4 linked regions of the Diceros bicornis minor genome follow. The protein of the gene in region 4 binds, or shares a complex with, the protein of the main gene of each other region. Links are inferred from orthologs where the notes say so. Each region holds a gene or a part of one and is shown on either strand. Other genes may lie near its edges. The genes, in order: MED24, MED13L, MED7 and MED23.

Region 1 (7,381 bases), on a different chromosome or scaffold from region 4:
TCAGTGACATGGTATATACAATTGCTAAAACTCACTGAATTAATCTTAAGATCTGTGCATTTTATTGCATGTTAAATATATATATATCTCCTATCATACTATTCTTCCACTTAAAATCCTTTAAATGATTACTTGTCACCCTAGGATAAAGTCCAAACTCCTTAGCATCACTCACGGGTCCTTTATGACCTAATCTCTATCTCACTCTAAACCAGTGTCCTCCTTGAAGTGCTAGCCCAGCAGTTCTCAAAATATGGTCCAGGAACCCCTGGGGTCTGTGAGGTCAAAAAATAAATACGACTAAGATGTTATTTGCCTTTTTCACTCTCATTCTCTCACAACTGTACAAGGAGTGTCCCAGAGGCTCTATGATATGTGATGATATCATATAATTAAACGTGTCAACTGGAATATCTGTGTAACTCAGTAACGGATATTTTCCAAATGACCAATTCATGATATGATAAAATCATGCATGGGTAAAAGATATATTCAAAGTGCAAGAGAGAGACTAATGGATTTTAATGTAATGGAGTATAAAAAGTTGATTCATGTGGTTTCACATCACCTGTTGAATTTTAGTGTATCAAAGAAGAATATGCAATTATCTGAAAAGTTTATTAAAGTACTGCTCCCTTTCCAAACTAAATATTTGATGTGTGAGGGCAGATTTTCTTCATACACTTCAACCAAAATAGCCTATTGCAACAATTGAATGCACAAGATTTGAGAATTCAGGGGCCAGCCCCACGGAGTAGTGGTTAAGTGCGCACGCTCCACTGCTGGCGGCCCGGGGGGTTCGCAGGTTCGGATCCCGGGCAGGCACTGATGCACCACTTGTCAGGCCATGCTGTGGCGGCATCCCGTATAAAGTGGAGGAAGATGGGCACGGATGTTAGCCCAGGGCCAATCTTCCTCAGCAAAAAAAAAAAGAGGAGGACTGGCATGGATGTTAGCTCAGGGCTGATCTTCCTCACACACACAAAAAAAAAAGATTTGAGAATTCAGCTGTCTTTTATTAAACCAGACATTAAAGAGATTTGTAAAAACATAAAACAATGCCACTTTCCTCACTAATTTTTTTGTTTTGGAAAATACAGTTTTCATTAAAATGTTATTTATATTAACACGTAATGGCTTTATTTTTTGTTACTTTTAAATAAATTCATAAATATTTTTAAATTTCTGTTTTCATTCCTACACTGGTAAATATGGATAGATGAAAAACATATAAACAAAGCAGTCTCAATAATTTTTTTCTTGGAGTCTTTTCTTTGTTTCTTTGTTGGATTGTCACCGGGGACCTTTTCAGTTTTGCCCAGTGGATCAACAATTTTTAAGAGTATAAAAGGGTCCTCAGACCAAAACTGCTGCTCCAGCCATACTCAATTATTTTCATCATCATGCAACTTTTGCCTCCCAGCCTCTTCACATGCTCTCCTCCCTGCTTTGTACAGCCTCATCAACGCGCCTAGCTAACTCCTACTTACCATTCAGGTCTTGGTTTAAACATCATTTCCTCTAGAAAGCCTTCCCTGATTCCTCAGACTGGATCACGTACCCCTCCCATATACTCCCATACTACTGCCCTAACCTAGATCATAAACCCATCCTGCGACCGACTGCTTATTTATATATCTGTATCACCCACCAAATTCCTTCTGCGCTGGGATCAGGTCTTGTTCACAGCTATATCCCCGGAGTCTGCGGCACTGTCTAGCACATACAAGAATTCAGGAATACTTCTTGAGAGAATAAGTTAATGTAATATTCATCATAACCAACGAAGCGTTATCTTTTATTTTGTGTGTGTGTGAGGAAGATTAGCCCTGAGCTAACATCCGTTGCCTATCTTCCTCTTTTTGCTGAGGGAGATTGGCCCTCAGCTAACATGTGTGTCCATCTTCCTGTATTTTATATGTGGGACACCTGCCACAGTATGGCTTGATAAGTGGTGTGAAGGTGCACGCCCAGGATCCGAACCTGAGAACCCTGGGCCACAAAAGCAGAGCCAGGAACTTAACCACTACGCCACTGGGCCAGCCCCCAATGAAGCATTATTATTTTTACGAGAAAACTAGGGCTCAGAGAAGTGATGTATTCAAACAAATTCACCTAAAAAGTATGAGCTGACAATTGTACTCCGAGTCTTTTACCTTCAAACCCTCACTCTCTGGAATAGGTGGGGCAGTTTACCTGGGAACTAATGGCATACTTCAGGTAGGACAGGATGAGAGGATTGGGGGAAGGTCCAATCATAGCCTGCTCCAGTAGTGCTTCTGCAAGCGGAATAACAAAGCAAGACTGAGTGGTTACAACTTTTCTGAGTTTAGCCCTCCCATCCTTCCTTCCTATTTCACTTGAGAACCTGCTAAGTTGAGAATGTCCCAGGTGGCTCCCTTGGGAAAGAATTTCTTCATGTTGATTGCCCACTGGTAGTCACTCCATCGCTCCTTCCAGGCTTGCAAAATGGCTTGCTTCAGGTTCACCACCTTCATGATTTCACTCTGAGGAGGCGGGGCCGGTGGCGGTCACCTTTGAGGTGGGAGAAATCCAGCTGGAGAAGAGAAGAGGAGATTCTGAGGAAAAGAACAGGGGAGGGCAGAGTTAAATGCAACGGAGAAGATACAAGAAGATTTAAGGGAGGCAGAGGAACTAGAAAGGAAAAAAGGGGAAGGGGGCAAGGTAGGGATCCTGTCAAGTTCTTCCCTCCTGAACCATCCTTCCTTAAACTGAAGCACTAAGAAGAGGGTGTCAAACGGGCTTAATACAAAGAGTAAATAGGGCAACAAGGGGTTAAGCCAAATCCAGTTTCCTAATTACGCCCTTAGCTCCGGCTGCGTCCCTCAGCCAGCACCACCTCGAACGCACATTCCCTCCCCCCACCCCCATTTCCTCCACCTTCCCTAACCCTAAAACTACAACTCCATATTTCTTTTTCATCCACCACTTGCCCAAATGTAAGCCTACCGGACAATCAAGCCCTAGATCCTAGGTATCGCCATTTTGGCACTTATCAAAGGGCTAATTTTCTATTGGCTGGGAATAATAAACATGAACCAATAGGAATGTAGCAAGAGACCGGTCACGCCACGATGCCTTCTGGGAATTGTAGTTTCCTGGACTGGGCTAGCCAGGAAGCTAAGGGACTAAGCTAGTAACCGCGCATTGTTTCTCTCCTTTAGGGAAGGACAGGGAGAGGCTGAAGCATCACGGAGACTCAGACCGCTGAGCGGGGAGGGCTCTCGAAAAGCGGTTCGCGATCAGACGTGGCCCAATGACGTCACTGTCGACCCGGCCTTTAAATTATATTCCGACACCCTTTCGTTACCCGCTACTTAGTAGGCACAGCTAGTGTGTGGCGTTGATTCAGCAATACGTTTTCTTTTTCCTGGCCTTTTCTTGCTCTCCTAAACCCCTGCGCCTATCAGAGTTGTTCTCATTGCCACACCTGTATTCCAGAAGCGACACTGAGGCTTGGTCAGTTGCACACACATAACTACTTCACCCCCAAATTTGGCAGTCCTCCCAGAATCTCCTGGCCCTGCAACTGCTTGAATACAGGGAGAAGCAAGGAGGAAAGTAAGGAGGAAACTGAGGTTAAGGTTATCAAAAATAAGGAAAGTCTGAAAAACCGTCATAGCCAAGAGGGCCTAAGGAGACATGATGACTAAATGTAACTCGGTTCACTGGATGGGATCCTGGAACAGAAAAAGAACATTAGGTGAAAACTAAGAAATATAAATAAAGCATGGACATTAGTTAATAATAATGTATCAATATTGTTTCATTAATTGTAACAAATGTATCGTACTAATGTAAGATGTTTAAAAAAGGGGAAATTAGGTGTGGGGTATGTAGGGATCCTCTACTATCTTCAAATTTTTTCCTGTAAATCAAAAACTATTCCTAAAAATAATGTTTCTTAAAAACAATGTGATGTCTTGGGCTGGCCCCGTGGCTTAGCAGTTAAGTGTGCGCGCTCCGCTGCTGGCGGCCCGGGTTCGGATCCGGGCGCGCACCGACGCACAGCTTCTCCGGCAGTGCTGAGGCCGTGTCCCACATACTGCAACTAGAAAGATGTGCAGCTATGACATACAACTGTCTACTGGGGCTTTGAGGGAATAAATAAATAAATAAAATTAAAAAAAAAAAACAATGTGATGTCTCACTTATCCTTTGGAACCATATTGTAGATAATTATGTCCAGGGTTTAAGGCATTAGCTCTTGTTCCCCCACTTCCCACCCCACAGTGGGAAGCCCAAAAGCAAATGCTACCCACATCTGGCGCCAACATCTTTTTTTTTTTTTTAACTTTATTTATTTATTTTTCCCCCCAAAGCCCCAGTAGATAGCTGTATGTCATAGTTTCACATCCTTCTAGTTGCTGTACATGGGACTCGGCCTCAGCATGGCCAGAGAAGTGGCGCATCGGTGTGCGCCCGGGATCCAGGCCCGGGCCGCCAGCAGCGGAGCATGCGAACTTAACCGCTAAGGGACAGGGCCGGCCCTGGCTCCAACATCTGAGCCTCCCTATACACAGCCTTCATCCCTGCCCTGTCCTGTGGACAAGTCGTCCCTAACATTTACAACTACGGACAAGAATAATCATGGAGTCATCCGCCCAATGTCCTGCCACCCCTATTTTGAGCCTTCCCATCCCATACCCCCATGAGTCCAAGATCCATCCATATTCCCCAACGACCATTCTTTGGCCACCCTTTCAGTGGTAAAATCAGTCCTCAGAAGGATGAATCCGGGAGAGCAGCCTACTCAGGCTCTAGAAACAAACTTGTGGCCCTTAGGGCAGAGAATAACAGGATCCTGAGTATCTGGAGCATAGCCTAAACAGGGAGAAAAGGACTCCTGTTCTGAAGGGGAGACTGCAGCTGGAGGAGGGCCAAGTCACATCCCTCTAAGGTCATTACTGCCTATGGCCTTTTTCCCTCCCCATACACCCACCCATACCCCCCTCCATTCTGCTCCCTTTTGTGCCTGCCCAAGTGACACCAGTGGTGAATAGTGTTTATATAAAACAGCTGCCAAATATGTGTAGCCAAAGCTTCCAAAGCAGGAAGGAGGGAGAACCCATACTCCTCATATTTAACCTCCAAACTCCCCCAGCCACACAGACACACTTGAGACGCCACCAACCCTGTTTCTCTGCAGTCTCTCACAAATCTGGGCTCCCTTCTTCTCCCAGGCCCCTCACTCTACCTTGCCGGCTCTCTTCCTCTCATTCTTTTCCTGCTCCTGAAGCCAAGGGTCCCCTACCTTGAGTCATTCCTGGATCCTACAGCTCCTTTCCCATCCCTCATAGCCCAGACTGCCCCTCTTGGAGAGAGGCTGTCAACTTTGTGACTGTTCCTAACCGAGTTAGTAGGTGTTGGGTCCAGTCCACATGAGAGTGGGGAATACTTGGGCCCTGAGGATAGTGATATTCTGAGCTCAAACCATCCCCCTCTGACAGGAAGGGTGGTAGATCTCTGGGGGGGAGGATGCCTCTTCCCCACTTTACAGTGACAGGGAAGTGGCTTTTGTAGTCAGGCCATCTGCCTTCCCTGTCCCCCCACCTCTCACCAGTAGTCCTTTCTCTAGGCTTGGCAGGGTTTCCCCAAGGACTGGACTCCTAAGGGAGTACAAGGACTCTCTTAGTTCTGGGCAAGGGCCATTTTCAATTTCTCTACTTTGTCCTGACTATCTAGTCTGCAAATATCAGAGACAGCCTTTCCCGTACACCACCTCTTCCCTGCACAACACAATAGCTTCCTAGGACCCGCAAGCTCTCTGGCTTGCTGACCACAAAGACGGGACTCTATGATGATCCTCCACTGTGTGAGTGAAGAGATGCTGACATCCCTTTTGGCTATACAAGGAACTCTCCGCCCATACAGCCCCTCTCAAAAACCCCTCTTACTTACTCCACTTTCTTTTGCTGTCCATTTCTTCTCCCTCAGCACTGATAGCGGCTGAGCTCCCACCTCTGCTCTCTTAACCCTGAGCCCTACCCTCTTCATCTTGTTGGCTGATCTGGCTGGGGAAGGGGTCTGGCTAGAGAAGAAGCACAGGTGGAAACCAGCCAGCCAGAGTGACATGGCAACACTGGAGCAGTAGCAGCAGAGGAGCTAGGCCAGAGTGGGGACTTGGGTTGGGGTAAGAGGCTGGGAGGAACAGGGTTTTTTGTACTCAAGGGGACAGGGACATTCATTATCTAGGCTAGAAAGAAGTATCCATGGCAGATTGGTTCCAGGAACTCTCGCATATACCAAAATCCATGGATACTACACTTACACTATAAAATGGTGTAGTACATTGGGCTGGCCTGGTGGCGTAGTGGTTAAGTTCACGTGCTCCATTTCAGCGGCCCGGGGTTCGCAGGCCCAGATCCTGGGTGCAGACCTATGCACCACTCGTCAAGCCATGCTGTGGCAGGTGTCCCACATAAAATAAAGGAAGATGGGCACTGATGTTAGCTCAGGGCTAATCTTCCTCACCAAAAAAAAAAAAAGGTGTAGTACAATGAATACAGTCAGCGCTCTCTATCCTCGGGTTTCCCATCCTTGGATTCAACCAACCGCGGGTACTAAACCTGCGGACAACAAGGGTCAACTGTATAAGGAAAAGTGGCAAGAGTCTATACCCAGAAACACTGAAATACTTGGTAAGCATACAAGGCACAGAAGGTTTCAGCTTCCCTTCTCTCCACAGGGAAACTGAGTCATTCCCCTCCCCTAACTGGAACATTTTCCTTTGGAAGCTTGCCTGGGTCTCCCCACTATGGGATGGGGAGTTAATTGGCAGCAGGTGGATGGGGAAAGAAAGAGTCGTTCCCACACACTCATACACAGCTGGTTCCAAATCAGCTCCCTTCTCCCATCGGTCCCCACATCAATCCCTGCTTTCTCTCTATCTGGGGGAGAGGAGAATGGGGGAGAGACCTACATGGTGGCCCCACCTCAGGGACAGCTCCTGGACCCCCCAAGTTCCCTGTCTCTATCTTCCCACTGCCCCCACAGAAGAGCTCCAGAAAGAGACCAGCCAGGATGGTGAAAAAAAGAATTTGAACCAGTCCTTGGAGTATTTCTTCTCTAACACCCTGAAGGATGCCTTCCCTCTCCACATTCCCAGCGCAAAGAAGAAGTGAGGGGGCTGGCCCCGTGGCTTAGCGGTTAAGTGCGCGCGTTCCGCTGCTGGCAGCCTGGGTTCGGATCCCAGGCGCGCACTGACGCACCGCTTCTCCGGCCATGCTGAGGCCACGTCCCACATACAGCAACTAGAAGGATGTGCAGCTATGACACACAACTATCTACTGGGGCTTTGGGGGGGAAAATAAATAAATAAAATCTTTAAAAAAGAAGAAAAGAGGGGCTGCGATCCTGA
Region 2 (7,351 bases), on a different chromosome or scaffold from region 4:
GAAATTTGATGCCATGCAGCAGACAATCAGAAAGCAAAGTAAGTAAAAGACTAACAAAAATCTTAAGGCAGCTGATTGCACAATCAACTTTTGCTAAACTAGAACGAACACCTAAAGGTAATAGAAAGTGGGTGGGTCATTAATGTGGTACAGAACTTTCATCTCTAGTTTATATTTCAATCTACATTAACATGAGTATCTAGGTAAATTCTATATAAACAATACTTTTCTCTGCTCAAAAATACTGCAGGCCAAAAAAGCACATATATGCTATTATTAAGCACACAGAGTTCTTATAATACATGCTTTATTTTAAACAGGTGATGATTTTATCTCCTTTGGAATTAACTATACTATACAATGTACTTTAAGCAACATATTTTTAATGTTCTTGCTGCTATATCTAATTTTCCAAAAAAATCTCAAATTTGAATGAGAAAAATTTACAATATCAGCACCTTTTTAACTGATTTGTAATTTTAAAAAAATAGCACCTTATCCACCCTCTGCATACAAGAGAATGTAGACTTTCTCTAGTCCTTTAAAAAAAAAAAAAATCAAAGCATGCATTTCTGCAGTTCTGCATTTCAAAGTTGCTACCTAAAGAGTAATTCTGTTTAAAAAAAAAAAAAAAAGTATATTCAAAAATCAATTCCTGGTTTAAAGAGGTTTAAGAGAAAATACCCAAAGCATTAATCTTTAGTTGGTCATAAAGCACAGAATCCTCTCCCACAAAATTGTTTCTCCAAAAGAATCTCAAGCATCTTATCTCTATAACATTATCACCCTTACTTAAGCTTAAAAAAAAAATAAAAGATAAAAGAAATGATGTATCTTAAAGACTGGCTACACATATAATATACTTTCATTTGTCTACAAAATCTACTGTATATAAATTAGCCACACATACCCAAGCCATTACCAGTCAGCATGATATATGGTAATTTGGGGGATCTCTCCTCACTAATATTGGTCTACTTGGTTATTTTAATTACCTGTTAAAGTGTCAATGTGGTCACCAGCCACCAAACAAAAACCATTTAAAATATCCCTTAATCAATATGTTTGCTAATCTACGAAGTCCCTGAACCTGATACTAAATGACAGAATGAGGGGGAGAAAAGAGGATGCAAAATGAGTTTTATTCCCACATACCAAAAGATCAAGGGAAAATAATCACAGTCCTGAGAGGAAGAAGAGCAACTTGTAACTGAATTTTAAAATTAAATATCTGAATAAAAATGTTGGAAGAAAAATAAAATTGACCTGATCTTACCACAGCAAAAACATGGATACTATGTCACTCGGGTCACTGTAGGTAAAAATCGCATGTTTTGATTTTTTTTATCTGCATAATGAAACATATTGAATAAAATAACACTTTTATTTGAAAAGTTGGCAAGAATTTGTATGTCTCCACTAGTCTCAAAGAAAAAAAGCCTCTATGCTACCCATAATTAAATGTAACTAATTACAATTTGAACACTAAATTATTTATCCAGTGTAAACAAGGATTAAGAGGAAATAATGCTCCCATCTGCAGCAGAGGTTACAGAAAACAATTTCCAAAATGCATGCGCTCCAAAAGTCAGTTCCCCCAAAAAAGGTACACAACTTAAAATAAGTTGGTTTTTTTAAGGCTAAATTAAACAAACCGTTCAGCCAATTTTCCAATTATATTCTACGCTTGAAACATAATTGCCTTACATCTGTTTACAAATCTTTGCTCAATATTTAAACAAATTCGTAGTCTCCCGGGCACATAGCTATACATACAGTAACTCCTGCACAAAGCACATATTTAAAGACCACGTACTGCAATTATTAGCCTAAACGCCAGGTTTAACAACATGAATGTTTTCAGAGCTAGGTAATACGACCCAATAAAAAGCAGAGATGGCATTTACCACCAAATGTCACTGCGACCGCCAGGAAAGAGTTGCTGGAGCCCTATACATTTTTAATTTCCATGAATCTAGACGCCGTCGTCGGGTGCCAGGCTTCCAGGAGAACAATTGACACCCTAACTGCTTCAAGATTAAGGCAGGCGATTCAAATCCCAAGGAAAAGTTGTCAATTACCAGCGAGAGCGCGCGAGAGAGGCGAAGGCAGATAAAAGCGATGTTATCCAGCCGCCCAGCTTGTTGCTTTTTTGTGTGTGTGGATTCGTTGTTAGGATAGAGAAAACAGTTTTTAAAAGACACAGGAGGAGAGAGAGAGAAGAAAAAGCTTTCTCCACCTTCCGTCGGCTCGGTGCAATGGCTTTCCGGCTCTCCAGCGTAGTAAGCCCCGAGAGGCGGGCGGCTGTCGGTGTTTACAATCGCGGGAGCTCCGGGTGCCAGAGTCCTTTACTGACACCATCGCATTCGATCAACTGTTTTCGGGCGAAATTGCAGGTGTCATTATGGAATTTTAAAAAAATTCAAAAGCCGGGCGGGCGAGCGGGCAGTCGACCCGACAAGGGGGGAAAAGGCTGCCGATCGCAGGCACGGGCAGCACAAGGCAAAGCCTTCCACATTTAGGGGAAAAAAGGGGGGAAGAGGGGAGAGGAAGGGGGTGTGATGGCAACAGAGGGTGGGCGTTCGAAGTGCGACCCAGAATCCGCAGCTCTGAGACTTCCACATGCAAATTCCACGCCGAGCGCCGCGCTCACAAATGATTTTTAAAGAGCCAAATAAACACTGGAGGGGAGCCAAGGCGAGGAGCGACGATCCAAAAGGGGGAGACGCGGCGAGAGGCGAGCGGCGGGGAGAGGCGAGGGAGGGGCACGTCCCGGCGGCGGGAGGAGAAAGTTGGTCGGCGGCGGAGGTCGGGGACCCCCCCCCGGCCCGGCCCCCTCCCCGCCGCCCGGCTACTCACCAGCGAGAAGAGGTTGGAGTGACAATCCTCCAGGCTCGCCCCGTTCGCCACCCAGTTCGCTGCCGCAGTCATGATCCTCCGCGAGCCCGGCCGCCAGAGCGGGGCATGTCGGAGCGAGGCGTCCGAGGCGAGGCCGGGCCGGGCGGCGGCGCCTCGCCGGGGAGCGCGGGCGGCCGGGCCGCCGCCGCCGCCGCCGCCGCCGCCGCCGCCGCCGCCGCCGCCGCCGGGGGAGGGCGCGAGGGCCGGCGGGCGGGCGGGAGGCGCCGCGGCGACGCCGCGCCGGGGGCGGCGGGCCCGGGCCGGCGGGGGGGTCCGCGGCGGCCGCGCGGCTCCTTCCTGCTCGGGCGGCGGCGGCGGCGGCGGCTGCCGCGGCTCCGGCGGCGGCGGGGGGCGCTGTCCGCGCGGCCCGGCGCCCTCCCCGCCTCTCAGGGCCGCCGCTGCCTCCCGGGCTGGCGCTGCGGGCCGGCCGCCGCCTCCGCCTTCCCTGTTCCTCCGCCGCCGCCGCCGCCGCCGCCTTGTTTATCTCCAGCCACCGACTCCCCCTCTGCCCCCGCCGGCGCGTGAGGGGAGGCGAGCCCCGGAGCCACCGCCGCCGCCTCGGAGCCGCCGCCGCCGCGGAGCGCGAACTCGCGAAGGGGGGGGTGCGGACGAAGCCAGCGGGCGACCCCGGCAGCCGAGCGACGTCCCCTCCTTCCTCTTCCTCCCCCACCCCCCCCTCCTCCCCAGTCAGCCTCGCTTCTCCTCCCTCCCCGGGCTCGCTCGCTCTGACAGCAATGGCGGCCGCCGACCGCGGCTCGGCCCGCCATTGGCTGGCGCCGCGTCACGTGACGGGCGCCGGCCGCGCGGGGGGGCGGAGGGCGGGCGGGGGAGGGGCCGGGAGCGGCTGCGGCGGCGGCGGCTCGCGGGCGGCGCTGCTGAGCCGAGCGCGGCCGGCTTCTCGGGCCGGGAGAGGGAGGGAGGCGGAGAGGCAGAGAAAGAAGTGCGGGCGGCGGCCGGCCGGCCGGCCGGGGCTGCCGTGCGCTGTCCCGCGTGGGCGCCGCGCCCCGCCCCCTCGGGTGCACGGATCCCGACGAGGCGCGACCGCGAGCCCCGGGAACGCCCGTGGCGGCCACGGCCGAGGGCTCGGGCCCCCCGCGAGTGCCCCCGACCGCCCAGGCCAGCTGGCGTGGCGGGGGCTCGCAGTGGGCCGGGCAGCAGGTCCAGGGGCTCCCGGGAGTGTCGCGTCGAGGTCGCACTCCGCCGTCGGCGTTCTGCGGCTGAGAAAACTGAAGCACAAAGAGATTAAGTCACTTGCCCGAGGTCGCACAGCTGGGAACTGGAGGGGGCGGGATTCGAACCCCCGTACCCAGGCACAGTCAAGCCAAGCTCTTGCGCTAGGTTTTATAAGACTCGTCCAGGGATATTCGGGGCTGCCACTTAGTGAGCGCTTACTGTGTACCAGGCACTATGCGCTGAATACAGGAAAGCCTTTTGAGGCCTTACTCCTAGGCACTGTGTGCAGACATTCATTCACTCATTGCGTCAGTGTTTCCTTACCTCTTGCCACGTGCCGGAATATGTTATAACTGCCAGGCGCTGTGCTAGGGCTGTGTTGGGAGCAGACCCTCCCTCTTGGCTACATTCATTCAATGACCAACATTTTCTGAGAGCATATGGCCTGGGAGTCCAGAGGTGTGCCAGTAAGAGGAGGCTGTCTCCCAGCCCTCAAGGCTTTGCTTCCGGCAAAGGTGGGAAGGAGAGAACAACTTCTTCGCCAACAAGCCACCAACTTGGAAGAGTCAGCTGTTTCAGGTGGATTGGACTAAAAGAGAGGAAGAGTAGAAACAGGGGAAAGATGGAGTGTAATAAAAGGAGAGAAGTCTTAGACGTGTGAATTGAGCTTTAGAACTTACACAAATAACTGCTAAAGTGAAACCCATGAGCAGCGTGTTACATATATTATTATCAAGGCTGACACTAGGTTATAACCCGCTGACACTATGTTATAATGAATGTATATACAAAGTGCTTTATCAACATGCATGGTGTTACTTGGGCCTGAGCAATCAGTCGGTGGGATGGTCCATTATATCCCAAGGGGCCTTCATCCTACACACCTGGTCACCAAATTCTCATTCTTCAGTAAGTTTAGGTTTAACTTGTTAGTAAGTCTCCCAGAGCAACCCAATAGAAAAATGAGCTAAGGATATGGACAGTTTAGAGAATAGGAAAGACATGGCTTTTAAGTATATAAAAAGATGCTCAACCTCACTCGTTGCTATGGACTGAATGTTTGTGTCCGCCTCAAATTCATACGTGGAACCCCTAATCCCTAGTGTGATGGTATTCAGAGATGGAGCCTTTGGCAGACGGTTAGGTCACAAGGGTGGAGCCCTCATGATGAGATTAGTGCCCTTGTAAGACAAGACTTGAGAGAGAATGCTTTCTCTTCCTCACTCCCCTCCCCTCCCCTCCTCTCCCCTCTCTCTGTCTCTCTCTCTCTCTGTGTCTCTGTCTTTCTGCTGTACAAAGTCATGACCACAAAGAGGGCTCTTACCAGGAACTAAACGGGCACCTTGATGTTGGACTTCCCAGCCTCCAGAATTGTGAGAAATAAATTTCTGTCATTTAAGCCACCCAGTCCCTGGTAATTTGTTATGGCAGCCCAAGCAGACTAAGACATTCATTATAAGAAAAACAAACTAAAACCATAATAAGTATTGGCAATATTTTAAAAGCTTAGGCAAATATGGAGGGAAGCAGAACTCTGATATACTGTCAGTGGGAATATAAATTAGCACCACAGCTTTCGGTGTCAATTTGGAGACATCGAAATTTATAATGCATGTACCCTTTGACCCAGCAATTCTAGTTCTAGAATTTTATCCTACAGAGATACTTGTGCAGATGTATAAAGACCTGTAGCACAAGGACATGAATTATAGTACTATTTGCTGGGCAAAAACTGGAAACAACCTACATGTCCATCATTTGGGGAGTAGTTAACAACGTAATTTAATTCCGTGTAGCCATTAAAAATAATGAGTTATCACTATGTGTCTCATATAAAATAATCTCAAAAATAGCTTATTAATTGAGTATCTCTGGAAGGTTACCCGAGACTCTAGTAATATCAGTTGCCTCTAGGGATGGGAGTCAGGGTGGGAAGAGGGTGAGGAGAGTACTTTTCACTGTACTGTTTGCGTTTTCTTTCTTTCTTTTTTCTGAATATGTATATTACCTGCTCAATGCAGTGTTATAAACAACACAAATCAATAAATAAATAAAATTGAAAACAGAATAATCAAATGGCACCATAAAAGGAAATTAAAAAGCAAATAAACAACACAAGACAAAAGAAAAAACCTCATCTGAGGGGATTACCTTGGCTGTCAAAGCCAAGGCCCCAGAGTGGAAGGGAAAAGGCCAAAAGTGCAGTGTGCAATTGCCCTGGCAACATGAGGACAGAAGGAGAACCCAGGGGAACTGGGTTCTAGTCTCAGATGTGCCACTGAGCAGCCCTGTTAGCTCAGACAAGCCCCTCAACCTCTCCGGGCCTCAGTTTCCTCATGTGTGAACAGGGCAGCCGGGGTGATCCTTCAAGTCATTTCTAGCAAGAAGACTTGGTTGATTCTGCACAGTTGAGAGGACTGATAAAGATCTGCAGAGTTCTTACTCAATAGAGAAAGCAATGGGAGTTGATGGAAAGCCTCAGGAGATAAGATGAAAAGAAAAGAAAACAAAAACCATCAACTGACTACTAGGAAGCAGCAAGGTACCAGGCACTGGGACTTCTGAGTACAGTTCCGTATGTGGGGACCTCATCAGAAGCATCCTCCTGACTTAGTTTCTCCATTTGTGAGAATGCCTGCTGCCCCGGCAGGAAATAGACGTTCCACTCTGCACAAGTCTCAGGTCTTATTCTGAGAATGACAGGTTAGTTCCCTTTCATGGTTACCAAATGTAATGGCAGAGAGAAAATGGAAGCAAAAATATGACCAGAGGAGGAACCACCTATTCGAGAGACCACAGGAAACCACCACAGCTGCAGGGTGGGAGCATTTTGCAGGAGTTAAGACTGTTGCTTCAGAGTAAGACACACCTGGGTTCCAATCCCTGCTCTGTCGTGCACAGAGCTGTAGAGCTGTGCAGCCTTGAGCAGGTCATTTAAGCCCTGTGACCCCCATTTCTTCCTGTGCATTGACCTCCCAGGGTGATAACACAGAGAAAGTTCTTAGCACAGTGCCCGGCCCCATAGACGGTGATCAAAAAATTATAACAATCACAGTCACTAGTCCATCCTCGTACAGTGGAAAGTGGCACCCAGTCACATCACTTGCAGCTTTTTTCCCTTTAACCTAAGCTTTATTGGATTTATTTTATTATAAATAACAAAATGTTAGCTAGAGCAAATCAAATGATATAGGAGCATACCAAGAAAAGGGAGTCCTGTTCTCTCTCCCCCACTAGGATAACCAAAGTCAACGAATTGTTGTGAATCTTTACTGTTCCT
Region 3 (7,856 bases), on a different chromosome or scaffold from region 4:
AGAAATAACTAACTACAAGGCTACTACAAAAGACCAACAGATCTAACTACCAAAAATAAATTTAAAAGTTCCATACAGGAAAATATCATAAGCAGAATTAAAAGATAATCCATTTTCCTGGGAGAAAAATGCTTGCAAGCTAACAAAGGGCAAATACTAAAAATTTTATTTTGATTTTTTAAAAATGCATTGCCTGACTCCACCTCCACTAGAAGAAAAGGACTATGACTCCAGGAAGTGCCTATCTTGTTCCCAACTCTAATCCAGCACCTCAAACAATGCCTAGAAGGTGCTAGATCCTCAATAAAGGTCCACTGAATGAGTTTTTTTAAAAAAAAATCTACATTAAAAAAATAGACAAAAGATGACGAGGAAAATACAAATGCTGAATAAAAGCTAGAAAATATTCAGACTAATACCTTTTTCTTTATTGGTGAGGAAGATTAATCCTGAGCTAACTAACATCTGTTGCCACCTCCTCTTTTTGCTGAGGAAGATTGGCCCTGGGCTAACATCCATGCCCATCTTCCTCTACTTTATATGTAGGATGCCGCCACACCATAGCTTGATAAGCAGTGCATAGGTCCGCACCCGGGATCCAAATCTGTGAACCCTGGGCTGCAGAAGAGGAGTGTGTGAACTTAACCACTACGCCACCGGGCCGGCCCCCAGACTAATACACTTTTAAAAGCAAATTTTAAAAAGAATACTTTTGGGCCGGCCCCGTGGCGTAGCGGTTAAGTGCACGTGCTCCACTGCTGGTGGCCTGGGTTCCAATCCTGGACATGCACCGAGGCACTGCTTGTCAACCCATGCTGTGGCAGCATCCCATATAAAGTGGAGGAAGATTGGCAGAGATGTTACCCCAGGACCAGTCTTCCTCAGCAAAAAGAGGAGGATTGGCATGGATGTTAGCTCAGGGCTGATCTTCCTCACAAAAAAAAAAAAAAAAAAAGAATACTTTTCATTTATCAGACTATCAAGACTTCAAATATTCCATCATTCAACAAATACTAGAACACCTTCCATGTGGCAAGCCCCAGATTCCCGCAGAGGTCACATTCTCCTTCCTCTCAGTTTCTTCAGAGTGGTCATCTCAATCTCAGAAGCAGGCTCTTAGCTATTCTGGCCCTGCAGGGAAGTCGCCTCTGGTGGAGAGCATCCATTCCCTTCAGCTCTCACAGAAGCCACCATCACCACCACCACACAATACTCTTAGGTGGTAGATCAGTACCACCTAAGAGAATCTGAGGAAGTCTCATATACAACTGAGAGGAAAGGAAACAAATATATATTTGGAATTTAATTTGGCAGTATCAAAATTTTAAATGCTGATATTCTTTGAACCAATAATTCTATCCCGAAAAATTTATCCTATAGAAACATTGGTACAAGTACACAAAAATGTGTATAAGGATGTTTAATGCAGCCCTGTTTGAAAAAAGAGCAGGAAACGTTAGAAATAACTCATGATTTCATCAATATGAGGGCTGGACAAAATACATCTACATAATACAACACAGCCATTAAGGTAAAAGGGGTGCAAGTACATGGGGTGGGGTGGGAGGTTATAAACACTGTGTACTGTTTCATTTACTTACAACACACTTATGATAGTTGCAAACAGTCATAATCAACTTTTTAAAACTTTTTAACATAAATTCAGACTTACAGAAAAGTTGTATCAACAGTACAAAGAAACTTCCATATTCTTCACCCAGATTCTCCAAATATTAACATTTTCCCCTCATTTGCCTTACTGGTCTCTCATCTCTTTACCCTCAAATACTTCAGTGCGTATCCCCAAAACAATGTTCTCTTATAAGCACATAATTACCAAAATCAGAGAATTAGCATTGACCTGGTACTTCAAAACAAATTTTAGACAGCCCAGGTTTCACCCCACTCAAGCCTTTTTAGGTTGGGAGTCGTTTTGTGCTTCCCAGCACCACGTGCATTCCTCTAATTAAGTTGCCATTTTCCAAAGGTCAACTACGTGACAGGTACCATTGTTTTATATCCTCTCTTACTTACTCTTCATAACAAGTCTATGAGTTAAGTGGTATCATCAATTTCATTTTAAAGATGAGGATGCCAAGTCTCAATGAGGGGAAGTGCTTGCACCAGGGATCAAAACGCCAGTAAGTGGCACAGCGGGAATTTTTATCCTTGGTCCTTTGAGCTGCACAGTACAAGCTCCCTTAAACCAGCAGACTATGAAGCCTCTTAACTGCACAAAAGGAACCTGACATACTACAGAAATTATGTTTATTTTTCTATCACTTGTTTTGATTGAATTTTTCAAAGGCGATGGAGGTGTTCAGTAAAACCATCAAAGCCGGTTATCAGACTCAAGATCCACCTTCTAGTGTTTGTTCCATTCTGGGGGGTTTAACCAAAAAAGAAAGGTATCCTGGGGTCCCATCCCCAGACATTTGATTCATTTTGTCTACTGTGAATGAGGCCTCTGGAATGTAGTTTTTAAACCTCTGCAGATGAATCTGACGTTAGGCTTGAGATCTACCTCCTCTCCCGCCCCCCATTAATTCAGCGGATTTCACGATCGCTCCCTGGAGAAGAAGGGCAAGGAGGGTTATTCTCATTTTACAAACGCCGGAGAGGCCGAATGACTCGCCAAGGCCACACAGCCTAGCAAACCAGCGGCGCAGGACTAGAACCCAGGTCTCCCACCCTCCAGTCTGGCCCGGCCTCCCCACAGGGAGGAAGCCGGAGCCCGCCGCCCTGAAGGCACCTTCCGCCAGGCTGTCCACCCGGGGCTCCTCGAGCGGCGGGAAAGCCGCGCTCTCCGACAGACAAAGAGAAGAAAGAAAGCGAGCACTCCCCCCACTCCCAGCCCGCCCTGAGGAAGCCGCGGGGTCCGGAAGAAGAAACGCACGCAAAACAGAGCCCCAACCCGTCGCCGCCCACTCACCTCAGTGCTGGGTATAGTCTAGCAGCCGCTTTCGCCACCGCAGCCGAGATCCGACTTCCGGTCTCCTCCTCCAGGAAGAAGCCACCGACACTGCCCCTTGATTGGCTGAAAGAGCTTTCCTTTAACCGAAGCTCTAGTCCCGCCTCAGACCCATGGCTCGCTATTGCGCCTGCGCGTATCTCTTTCCTACGGCCCACCCCAGCAATTCTGCGGTGGGGTCGGTGGTTGGGTTTGCAGCTGGGGAGGGTTTCTATCAGTAAAAGGAGCAGGTGATATCTCCGTTCTTTCTTTTTTTAACGCTTGAAATGAAACAAGGCAGCCATATGCCTTACATAAAAGTTAGAAAATACAGGTAAGCGGATATTTTAAAAAATTATATCGACTCTAACCCCACTGTCAAAAATAACATTTAAAGAAATGAGATGGACTCTATATGCTGTTTATATATTTTTTCAGTCTGGAAATATTTGTGAACATGATTGGAGATCAGTAATAGTCTCAATTTCCATTTCCTCACCGTCCATTCACTTTTATTTTCACTTAGGAATTCAGCCATGTCTATTATATTTCCAGGCAATAAATTAACAAATTTAAAAACAAAATCAAACTTAAAGGTTTCCTTTGGACGTTACTTTCATAAGTGTCACAAATTTCTAAATTCGTGGGAATCTTACAAGAGCATGTTGCACACAGAAAATAAGGTTGTTATTTTGATAAAAGTTCTCAACCTAACCTCTTTAAAATAAAATTCTTTGACTTAGTTTTTTAAAAACTTATTATGGAGAGTTCCAAATATTTACAAAAGTAGAGAGAACAGTGTACTCATCACCCAACTTGAACAATTATCTACGTATAGACATTATTTCATTTCAGCATGCATCTCTAAAAGATAAGGACTTTCTTTTTTTCACATAACCACAGAACTATTGTCTCATTTAAAAATAAATTAATAATTATGTTACTGCCCAAGGGGGGTCGTCTGCTCAACGCAAGGCATGACAGTAGTAGAGAGGAAAGGTGGTAGGAGAGAAAGAGTTTTATTATAGCTTGCTAGCGAGGGGGAAGATAGCTGACTAAAAAGAACCAACAGAACCAAGACTACAGGCCAGTTTATAGGCGGTTGGTCTCCGCATGGTTGGAGGGATTCGGTCTTAGTTCCTGGAAATCTTTTGTTTTACTGGATATGCATCAGAGACTGGAGCAACACCTTATACCCTGGTTTAATTTGAAGATAATAAGACCAAAATCTTTAATATGTATAGTAAAGATTACTGTTTACGTGAGTGGTGCCAACAATTTAATACCATCAAAATCAAGTCAGTATTTGGATACCAATTGTCTCAGGATCCAAATGAAGTACACTCATTTGTGACTGACTGATGTGTCTTTTAATTACCTTTTAATCTATAGGTTCCTTCACTCATCTCAATTTTCCCCCTACATCAATTTATTTGTTGGAGAAATCTATTTACTTTTGAGCATACTCCAATCAGGCTTTTCTCCTCGCCGCTGAGACCACTGTGACCTACAGCTGTGACCTCCAGAGGTCATTCTTAGTCCACTTTTTACTGCATGCTCAGCAGCTTTTGGCACATTTGATTATTTGAATTGCCCCACGACGCAGTTCTCACTTATTAGTGGGATATCATCCAGGTGATAATATCCAGGTGATTCCAGGCCCTGGCAACACCCTCTGCTTTGCACTCAGACCCTTTATCCAACAGTATTGTACATCTTTACTCATGCAAGTGCACTTCACTCAATTGCAAAGGCTCAAGTCTAAAGATTCATCTTTTACCATTCTTTCTTCCATGCTCCTTCAAATATACTATCCCAGCCTTTTGTATCAGTTCTATTTAGAAATAAGTAAAAGTCCCAAATATGACTAATTTTCACCATCTCTGCTGCTATGGTCCTAGTCCATGCCACCATTATCTCCCCTGGACCTCTGAAATAGCCTCCTAGCTGGTTTCTTTGCTTCTCTTCTGTCCTCACTTCGCCTGTTTATCACACTCTTAAAATATAAGACAGATCTGACCACTCCTTTATTCAAAATTCTCCAAGGTTTTCTGTCACATTTACGATAAAATCTAATGTCTCACCATGGCGTATATAAGGCCCTACAAAATCGAGTCCTTGGCTACTTCTCCAATAACATTTCCTATGATTTTTTCCCGTGCTCACTCTTCTCCAGCTGTAGGCTTTCCAACCATACTCCTACCTCAGAGCCACTGCATTTGCCTGGAACTCTCTTTCCACAGATATTCATATGCCTCACTTCCTCACTTTATTCAGGTCTCTGGTCAAATGTGACTTTCTCAGAGAAGTCTTCCCTGGTCACTATAAAATAGCATGCCCCCAACCATTCTCTTGGGGGATGCCCCCAGTCCCCTTACTATGCATTATCCTTCTTTCATTGAACTTATCATCATCTGATATCATATTATGTAGTAGATTTATTTATTTATTTTTATTGTCTTTCTTCCTCATCAAAATACAAGGTTTGTGAGTGTGGGGCCTTTGTTTCATTTGCTGCTGCATTCTCAGCACCTAGAACAGTGCCTGAAATTGGCAAGTACTCAAGGAATAGTTATTGAATAAGTAACAAAATGAATATAATCATCATTTTCAAATGAATTCACAGTATGACATTGATGGATAGACCACAATCTATTTAGCCAAAGCCCCATTGTGTAAAATTATCTTCTTCCCAATTTTTGCTATTGTTAATACTCTGGATGAGCATCCTAGTGCATATGTTTGTGCATGTGTCCAATTTTTTTCCTTGAGGTAAATTTCTAGAAATGGAATTACTTGACCCAAAGGTGCGGGGTCTTACCGTTAGTGGCAGGATCAAGGCTAGAATTAGAACATTTGACTCTCAGTCTAGTGTTCTTTACAGTAAACTACACATGAATAATGATATGAAATGTATATCATGAGAGGGGCTAGTGAGAATATGGCATACAATAAACATTTGTTTAGGTGGCATTTTCCAGAATCTGAATGGAAAGTTTATTCCTTAAAGATGCTTTCTGTAGCTTAACAAGGAATACAGCCATTCAACAAATCTTTATTGTGCATCTACTGTGGCAAGCACTGTTCTAGAAGGTAAAAAAGACAGACAGAAGCTTTGCCTTCTAATGGAGAGACACAGACAACAACGTGCCAACAAATAAGAATTTCAGATAATGATAAGGGCTATAGGGGAAAAAATAATACAAAATAATGTGGTAGCTATGTGAGTTGGGGGGTAGCTACTTTATAGAAGATGATCAGGGTAGCCTCTCCCAGAAGGTGACTTTGGAGCTAAAACATAAGTGATGAGAAGAAGTCAACTGTGCAGACATCTGGGAGACGGCAAGTGCAAAGAGCCTGAGACAGGAAGGGAGTCTGTGTGCTCTCTAACGAATGAGCAAAGGGAGAGTGGGTGGAGGTGAGGAGCAGAAACTGGCAGGGGTGTATGGTAACTGGCATCTTGCCTGTTTTAGGAGCTTGGCACATTATAAACATCATCATTATTTATCGTTTGATCCTAAGTGGCAAGCAGAAATACTCACACATTTTCTCCACTCTGTTGGTTTTTTAAGGTTAGGTTTATTGAGGTGTAATTTACATCCAGTAAAATTAACTTTAGGTGTAGAGTTCGATGAGTTTTGATGAATATATACTGTCATATAACCACTACCACCAGAATTAGGATATAGAATATTTCCATAACCCCAAGCAATTTCTTTTGTTCCCCTCTTGTACTCAATCACTGTCCGTCGCCCCCAGCCCCAGTAACCACTGATCTGATTTCTGTTCATATGGTTTTGCCTTTTCCAGAATGTCATATAAATGGAATAATGCAGTATATAGACTTTTGTCTCTGGCTTCTTTCACTTAGCATAAAACTTCTGAGGTCCATCAGTGTTGTTGCATGTATCAATAGTTTGTTCCTTTTTTATAGGTGAGGAGTATGCCATTATACAGATGTACCGTAATTCATTTATTCATTCACCAGTTGATGGACATTTGGGTTATTTTCAGTCCTATAAATATTCATATATGTCTTTGTATGGACATATGTTTTCATTTCTTTTGAGTAACTACGTAGAAATGGAATTTCTGGGCGTTCTAATAGTTATATGTTTAACTATATAAGAAAATGTCAAGCAGTTTTCTAAAGAGGCTGTATCATTTTTCATTTCTACCAGTGAACTATGAGAGTTGCAATTGCAATTGGTATTTTCCTTTTTATTTTTACTTTTTGCAATTCTAATAGCTATGTAGTGGTTTTAATTTACATTTCCCTAGTGTTGAGTATCTTTTGTGTACTTATTTGCCATATGTATCTTTTCTTTGGTGAACTGTCCCTTCAAATTTTTTGCCCATTTTTTGATTGGCTTATTTGTTTTCTTACTATTGAGTTGTAAGAGCACGTACACACACACCACACTGGATATAAGTCCCTTATCAGATATGTGTTTTGTAAATATTTTCTCCCAATCTGTGGCTAATCTTTTCATTTTCTTAACAGTGTCTTTCAAAGAGCAGAGGTTTTTAGTTTGGATGAAGTCCTATTTATCAATTGTTTTCTTTTATGGTTCATACTTTTTGTTTCCTATCCAAGAATTCTTTGCTTAACCCAAGATCACAAAGATTTTTCCCCTGTGTTCTCTTCTAGAAGCTTTATAATTTTAAGTTTTACATTGAAGTCTAACATCCTTTTTGCATTAATTTTTATATGTGGTGTGAGATGAGTTGAGATTACTTGGGGATTTTTTTGTTTGTTTTGCATGTAGGAGTCCAATTGTCCCAGCACCACTTACCCTGATTTTGATTTGTTGGTCTTATTACCTCTGTCACTGGTAGACAGGTTCATAAATAATAATCTCTGAACTCTTATTAGTCAATTACATTGTATCTCTGCGTGTTAATC
Region 4 (7,345 bases):
TCTTACAATTATATTGATTAAACACCCATCATTTTTATTACATGGAACCCCCCAAAAGAGTAATATTTTATTAACATATTCATGGTCAAAAGAAAACTTTAATAACGATTGTGTAAGGCATTGTAAGCAGTGCCCTTAACGGTAGACATAAATATTCCTGTCACTGGGGGAAAGAATTCATTATGAGTTAGTACCTTAGCCTCATGACAATTTAGTGCGAATCTAATCCCTAAGAGCCCAATTATGGACCCAATGACACATCAAATTTCTAGACTTGCATAACTAAAATCTGATACCAATCTGTAGTGACCACGTCTAAGTCTGTCTTCCAGGGTACCCTCAAGGATATCCTGTATGTCCTGCTCCTCTGCACTTCTACTGTCCTTCACACACACTTTTATTGTTGAATGTATAATGCTGATTTACAAATGTCTATCTTCCTCCTGGCTCATCTATGGGAATATAAACTTCTGGAAGACAAGGGCCATACCTTAACCCATAAAATGTTTAATGAATTATTAAAAAATTAAAATATGTTGGAAAAATGTTCAACATCACTCAGAGAAATGAAAACATAAAACCATACTAAGATAAAATTTCTCACATTTTAGAAACATGATCCAAAAGTTCATTAACACTCTACTGTGAGACTATAGAGAATAGACAATCTTACACATTGCTTGGGGAGTACAAATTAGTATGACCCTTATGAAAAGCTATTAGGCAATTTCTATAAAAATTACAAATAGACATACCCTCTGACCCAGCAATACTACTTCCATGAATTTATTATGTCCTGTGTATAATATTATTGTAGTATTGTTTAAAGAGGAAAAGGTAAGAAGCAAACTAATGTCACTCAGTAGAGGTCTGGTTAAACAAAGGAAGGTGCAGCCATATAATAGAATATTATCCTGCCATAAGAAAGCAAGAGAGGAAGGAAGGCAGAAGTAACTCTTAATGGATTGATGTAGAATTACTTTCAGAATTTAACATTAAGAGGAAAAAAGCAAGGTGCTAATGAACAGTGTACACAGTATTGGAACATTCTATAAAAATGATTCTGTATGCATAAAATACTTTAAAAAAAACAAACTGGGGATCCTGGCTGCAGACAGGAAAAAAATACCAGGTGATTAAGCTACGGGAAATGGAAGGCAGACTATTCACTGGGTCCCCCTTTCGGTACCTTTTCCATTTTGAACCATATGAACATATTACCTATTAGAAAATAATTAAAACAAATAAAAAAAAATGAACATATTGCCACTACGTGACCCATGTCTGTGATCCATGCCAGTGGCTCTGCTGCAAATGGTCCTCATTTTCCTTCCTATAATGCACCCTGAGAAGATAATGCACTACCAGAACATGAGCTCTTTATTTATTTGTTTTTTTTGTGAGGAAGACCAGCCCTGAGCTAACATCTATTGCCAATCCTCCTCCTTTTTTTCCCTTTTTCTCTCCAAAGCCCCAGAAGATAGCTGTATGTCACAGTCGTACATCCTCCTAGTTGCTGTATGTGGGACGCCGCCTCAGCATGGCCGGACAAGTGGTACATCAGTGCGCACCCGGGATCCGAATCCCGGCGGCCACTAGCGGAGCGCAAGCACTTAACCACTAAGCCAGGGGGCCGGACCCAAAACATGAGCTCTTTAAACATCACACATTTTGTCTTTTTTATGGATACATTTTCTGGTGACTGTTCTTTGCTACTAAGTTTTGCTGCTCTTTCCTCATTTCTACTATAATGTCTTAAAATTATAATTATATTATAATGTCTTATTATAATAAAGATGTAATAATGTATCCTTATTATAGAATCTTTGTATCCTTATTGTGGCATCTTTGTGTCTTCCCCATGGTATCTTTGTTATAGTATCTTTGCAGCAATGTTGTGCCAGTTCCTTTGTTGAGTAATTGAATGAAATTTTTATCCTTTTACAATCCCTAACACAGCTGTTTTCAAGTGCACCAAATAAATTGGAATAGGATGGAAATGATTTTATATAATCTAACAGAGGGAAGATTTTTAAAAACATCTTATACTGTTTTGTCATCAACTTCACTTGTCAATACAGGTTCTCCACTGGAACAATACAAATGGAAATAAATGGAAACCAGAATAGACAAAATAAAAGATGATGACAATTTTATTTCTCCCTCTCCAGAACTATCTTAACAGCAGCATCAAAGCAAATGTAAAAAAAGGAGTCAAAAATCATCAGCTGAATGTATTAAAAACGCAGTGCTCACCTGAGAAAGACCACCCCAAAACTGTCTGAAGGCCCCCAAACAGCTAAGTAGTTTTGTTTTTTCATCCTCAGGGGTGTCCATAAACATGCTAAAAAGCAAAAATCACATTATTTGCCACTATTTTTAAAAAAGGTAATTCAACATAACCAGAATAGTGGATCTTATAAATCTCCAAAATAAGCCCAAGTAAAATCTTACAAACATAGGCTCCCGTAAAAACACAAACATCTGCCATGCCTATACTCACCCAGGGAAAGCCTCTTCTATAATTTCCGTTTTCTGTGAAAAAACAAAAGTAGACAATGTGAACTAAAAAAAAAAAAAGAAAGAAAAAAGGGAGAGGCCTCCCCGAGCAAAACATGACAACATCACAGGGGGCAGGTCTCCTCCATCATCCACACGCAGACACCGACGATACCCGCCCGGCCTGCCACCCAGGGCGCTGTGGGTTTGAGAGAGGACCCTGAATTTGACAGCCGGGTGAGAACCGCTACCCCCTGCACACGCACACACGGTGTCAGGGCAAAGGGGAGGGGGGAGAGGGTGCCCGTCCCCTCCGTCCACCCCCATCCACGGCCCCGCCATCGCCCTGGCCCCCGGCCGTCCACTCACCACCACCTCCTCAAAAATGCTCTGCAGCTGCGTCTCCATCTGGACCATCGTCCCCGCCGTCCTCGGACGCCAGCGCGCGGCCTGACCGGGAACAGGGGCCGAGGGGCGGACACTCGCCCTGGTCCCCGCGCTCCTCAGGCGCTCGGCCGAGCGTCCCTTCCCGGGCGGGGCAAACTACGGCAGCCTGCGTGGAAGCCCGGAAGCGCCTGGTGCGCGCCGATGACGGAACCCGCGGAAACTAGTGACCCAGCCAGAGGGTTCCGACCGTGGGGAAAGGAGGCCCGGGAGCCCGACCAGAGCGCCCCCACGTGGAGCCTCGAGCCTAAAGCTCCCCGGGGCATCGTCGGGGGCAGGCTGCCACCTGCGGGCCGGAGCGGGAGTTGCTTCGTGCTCGGGACTACTGCTTTTGCATATTTGCAGCCTTGGGGAAATGCTGCTGGTGCAACCCGGGTCAACCGGAAGTCTGCGGACCGCTGACCTCCTGGAGCTCCGCCAGCGGGCTGGAGCGGGAGGTGAGACCAGACTCTTCCTGATGGCAAGGACCAGGCCTTCTCAGCCATGGTAACCTCAGTGTCTTGCAGGCTTTCCACGAACGTTGAAAAAAGTGAATGAACGCATCACGATTGATTTTTGATTAGAATAATCGAAAAATAATACCTACCGTTTTCAGTTATAATCATCTAAAAATAGTAATATGTATCAATTCCTGAATACCTGTAGCCTCTTTGGTGGAGAAAGGTGGCAAAGAAGAAGTCTGGTCCACTGGTGTGGTCAGAGCAGATGCCTCAGTGCTCTGAGCAGTGTGTCCTCGACCTCTTTATTCTTTCTAGCATCACTTTGACATGTTCCTGGACGTTTGCCCTCCTTCCAGCTGAGTTAGGTGTCTCTTCTTTATCCTCGTATAACACCTTTGTGCATGAATAGTAGAGTTCTTCCTTTATGGAAGATTTACCCACCGTTTGCTCAGTGCTAGACACGGGTGTTAGGGATTTAATGAACAGTATTGCAGTTATTGATTTTGCAGCATATCCAAGCTAGAAGGATCACAGAGCCAGAATTATTAAAATCCAAGTCCCCTCTGTTTTGTATGCTGAATAGATGACCTTATTGTGGATCATCTTTATTCAGATACACCTCTAAGACAGTGTTCATTTGCTCTCTGGCAGATTTCCATGCAATGGTGGTGGAGAATGGTCTAGAAATGGATGGTCAGTTTATATTCAATGAATGGAGCATCTGTAAGCATGATATAAAAATCAATTTGTTTTTGGTTATGGCAAAAATACAATTCTTTCCCGACCATTTTACCTTTTTATTATATGAGCTCTGGCCAACGTTAAGATGAGCTGGCGTGTGAGAACACGCTGATTTGGAAGCACAGAGTCCCAGTCACGGCTTTGATAGATGAGTCTTTGACCTGGCAGAAACTCAGTTCCCTAACATATCCACATGCAACCACTGTATGCCACTGTTACCACATAATAGCTTCTAAAAACTGAGATGTAAGAATTCAAATTTCCTGCTAGAGAATAGCTTCATGGGTTAGGTGTAGGGTATTAATTTGCTAGGGCTGCCATAACAAAGTACCCAGTCTGGTGGCTTAAACAACAGATACTTATTTTCTCATAGTTCTGGAAGTTAGAAGTCTGAGATCAAGGTTTCCTGTTTTAGTCAAGGAGTCATAATCCATTATTGTCATTATTTATTTTGATAAATATATCAACTATATATATTTATAATTGATAGATATATCAATTGGTTGGTTTCTTTTGAGACCTTTCTCCTTGGCTTGCAGATGCTCATCTTCTCCCTGTGTCTTCACGTGGTCTTCCCTGTGTGCATGTCCATGGCTAATTTCTTCTTCTTATAAGGATACCAGTCATATAGGATTAGGGCCTACCATAAGGATCTGATTTTAACTTAATTAACTCTTTAAAGACCCTATCCTCAAATATAGTTACATCTTCAACATATGGATTTTGGGGGCATAAAATTTGGCCCCAAAACTCCCCCCTCTGGCCCCCAAAATTCGTGTCCTTCTACCATGCAAAATATATTTACCCCATCACAAAAGCCCCAAATCTTAACCCATTCCAGCATGAACTCTAAGTCCCAAATCTTATCTAAATATCTTCTAAATTAGGTATAGATGAGACTTGAGATATGAGTCATTCTGAGGCAAAGTTCCTCTCCAGCTGTGAACTGCTAACACCAGATAAGTTATCTGCTACCAAAGTACAATGATAGGACAGGCCTATGACAGACATTCTCATTCCAAAAGGGAGAAATTGGGAAGATTAAAGGGGTCACAGGTTCCAACCAAGTCTGAAACCTGGCAGGATGATTCAATCATCCTCTTTGGCTCGATGCTCTGTCCTCCAGGCCCCCTGGGATGGTGGCAAGAGTGAAGAGGCCTTCTATGGGAGGACAGCCCGATAGAGACTGTAGGTGCCTGAGTGGGATGAGGTGGGCATCCAAGCATGGGAGGGGGTGGTGGCAAGGTTGGGAGGCTGGCTTCGTACGGGGAAGTTTATCAAATCAGCAAAAATAGTAAGTTCAATGAGAGTCAGATTTCACCCTGTGAGAGAAGGGAGATACGTAAATGGGAAAGTAGAATGAACCTTGTGGTGCTCGGTTGGAATCAGGAATTTTGACATGAACGCATGGATTTCAATAGACAGATAGTTTTAGAAATAAGTAGAGATGATAGGTGTAATGTGCACACACACATACATAAACACATGTGCCACACACACTCATACATATATTCCCTAGTTCTGGTGATGAAGAGAGTGTGGGAGCAGCTACACTCCAGTGATCACACCTGGAGCTCAGATCTAACTGCTAGTCTCTACTTAAAGGAGCCAGGTCATTTGGAGTAATGCTTGATCACAGAGCCGGGCCAGGTAATGTACAAGAGAAGCATGAAGCATCTTGTTTTACCAGAAAGCAAGAAAGCTTTTAAAGAATGATTTTTTGGAGCTTGAATGCGTTCCCACTGGCCAAATAAGGAACAATATGAGCATCAAAGTGAATAATGATAATAATGGATTATAACTCATTGAGTAAAATAGGAAACCACGGGTCCACAAAGATGTAAATGAATAGATGAATAAATTAAAATTTTGGTGAGAAATGGTGTATTTATATATTTTCAATGTAATTTCACATACAATACTTATTCATAATAATGAGTATTATTGTAAGAGTAACTTCACAGTGGAGAAGCCAGAAGGCACCACTTTTTTTTTTGGTAAGGAAGATTAGCCCTGCGCTAACATCTGTTGCCAATCTTTACCTTTTTGCTAAGGAAGACTGGCCCTGAGCTATCATCTGTGCCCGTCCTCTATTTAATATGTGGGATGCTGGCCACAGCATGGCTTTGATGAGTGGTGCATAGGTCCGCACCTGGGATCCGAACCCGTGAAGCCTGGGCTGCCGAAGTGGAGCACGTGAACTTAACCACTAGGCCACTGGACCAGCCCCCCGGAAACCACCACTTTAATCAAGAGATCAAAGTGTACATCATAAGGGATGGGACAAATTGAAATCATGCATCTGCTAGAATGTGTGAGAAGGACATGGCATCACTACAGTTATTCTCCTGCCAATGTTTTATAACCTAAATCTAATCATAGGGAGATAGAAGACAAAACCACATTGAGGGACATTCTACAAAACTGTTCTGTGATATTCAAAAGTGTCGAACTGTTCTGTGATATTCAAAAGTGTCGAAGTCAAGAAGGTCAAGGAATAACTGAAAAACTTCCAGGATGAAGGAATTGTTCTATGACAACTGAATGCAAAACATAATTTTGCATGGAATCCTTTCACTCTAAAGGACAACAGACAAAACCTGAAGGGGATCTGAGGATTAGACGGTAGAAATGTATCAATGTTAGTTGTCTGATTTTTATGGTTATGTAGGAAAATGCCCTTAGTTAGAGGATATGTACACACTGAAGTGCTTGGAGAAGATGGGAGACCAGGTCAGCAACGTCCTCTAAAATCGTTCAGGAAAGGAATTGTTCTTTGTGTTGGTACCTCCAACTTTTCTAATAGTTTGTAATTATTTCAAAATAAAAAAATTTACTAAAGATAAGATAAGGATAAGAATAAAGAAATCCCATTTGCAAGAAATAAAAATAAAGCTAGCAGTTCCCTTCAAACGTTTGAATAGGAAAGGTGGATTCTTCCCAACCAATCCTCAGTGACAAGAAAGAGATGGTTCTGTTAATTCGGTGTGCCATAACAAATAGTCAGTCCATTTCATTAAATTAGTCTCCTAAATCTTTAGCTTGGAATTTCTGTAAAATGTTATATAATTTCCTCAACAGAAAATGTGAAACCAAACTACAATTTTCACTAGAAGGAGAAAAGAGCGTTTAAGTTAAGGACTGGTTGGAGATATGCTTGAATGAGTAACAATCACTGTCCTAGCTTTCCACAAAAATGACCCAGCCTTCAGCAGGAAGAA

The links.
Region 1: the proteins of MED23 (region 4) and MED24 are in contact, whole or in part, in a cryo-EM structure (PDB 7EMF), measured with the Homo sapiens proteins. The link is inferred for Diceros bicornis minor from reciprocal best matches to the Homo sapiens genes MED23 and MED24. Residues at the interface, in NP_004821.2 of Homo sapiens: Asn150, Thr151, Val152, Ser153, Ser154, Glu193, Gly194, Leu196, Pro197, Trp199, Leu201, Gly202, Asn203, Ser206, Asp207, Asp210, Arg213, Tyr258, Asp259, Lys260, Phe263, Ser1133, Arg1139, Ser1176, Glu1180, Glu1182, Trp1183, Val1184, Tyr1186, Arg1189; in NP_055630.2 of Homo sapiens: Lys238, Thr239, Leu280, Leu283, Lys287, Val291, Glu295, Cys336, Glu339, Phe340, Lys343, Leu344, Thr345, Pro346, Leu347, Asp349, Lys350, Gln353, Lys384, Glu720, Lys721, Trp723, Thr756, Arg757, Lys758, Glu759, His760, Met802, Asp803, Pro804.
Region 2: MED23 (region 4) and MED13L share a complex: the UniProt entries of both Homo sapiens proteins name them as parts of the mediator complex. The link is inferred for Diceros bicornis minor from reciprocal best matches to the Homo sapiens genes MED23 and MED13L.
Region 3: MED23 (region 4) and MED7 share a complex: the UniProt entries of both Homo sapiens proteins name them as parts of the mediator complex. The link is inferred for Diceros bicornis minor from reciprocal best matches to the Homo sapiens genes MED23 and MED7.

What each region holds. Positions count from the first base shown.
Region 1 is NC_080757.1:39,631,982-39,639,362, forward strand, and holds the start of MED24 (mediator of RNA polymerase II transcription subunit 24), read right to left. Parts: upstream 3,012-7,381; 5' UTR 2,971-3,011; intron 2,767-2,970; exon of another isoform or gene 2,580-2,766; 5' UTR 2,499-2,579; coding exon 2,369-2,498; intron 2,280-2,368; coding exon 2,197-2,279; intron 1-2,196. UniProt on the Homo sapiens protein: Component of the Mediator complex, a coactivator involved in the regulated transcription of nearly all RNA polymerase II-dependent genes.
Region 2 is NC_080774.1:13,709,122-13,716,472, forward strand, and holds the start of MED13L (mediator of RNA polymerase II transcription subunit 13-like), read right to left. Parts: upstream 3,013-7,351; 5' UTR 2,932-3,012; coding exon 2,860-2,931; intron 1-2,859. UniProt on the Homo sapiens protein: Component of the Mediator complex, a coactivator involved in the regulated transcription of nearly all RNA polymerase II-dependent genes.
Region 3 is NC_080740.1:73,135,432-73,143,287, forward strand, and holds the start of MED7 (mediator of RNA polymerase II transcription subunit 7), read right to left. Parts: upstream 3,014-7,856; 5' UTR 2,933-3,013; intron 2,870-2,932; exon of another isoform or gene 2,753-2,869; intron 1-2,752. UniProt on the Homo sapiens protein: Component of the Mediator complex, a coactivator involved in the regulated transcription of nearly all RNA polymerase II-dependent genes.
Region 4 is NC_080762.1:6,424,805-6,432,149, reverse strand, and holds the start of MED23 (mediator of RNA polymerase II transcription subunit 23), read right to left. Parts: upstream 3,010-7,345; 5' UTR 2,917-3,009; coding exon 2,869-2,916; intron 2,536-2,868; coding exon 2,504-2,535; intron 2,345-2,503; coding exon 2,257-2,344; intron 1-2,256. UniProt on the Homo sapiens protein: Required for transcriptional activation subsequent to the assembly of the pre-initiation complex. Component of the Mediator complex, a coactivator involved in the regulated transcription of nearly all RNA polymerase II-dependent genes.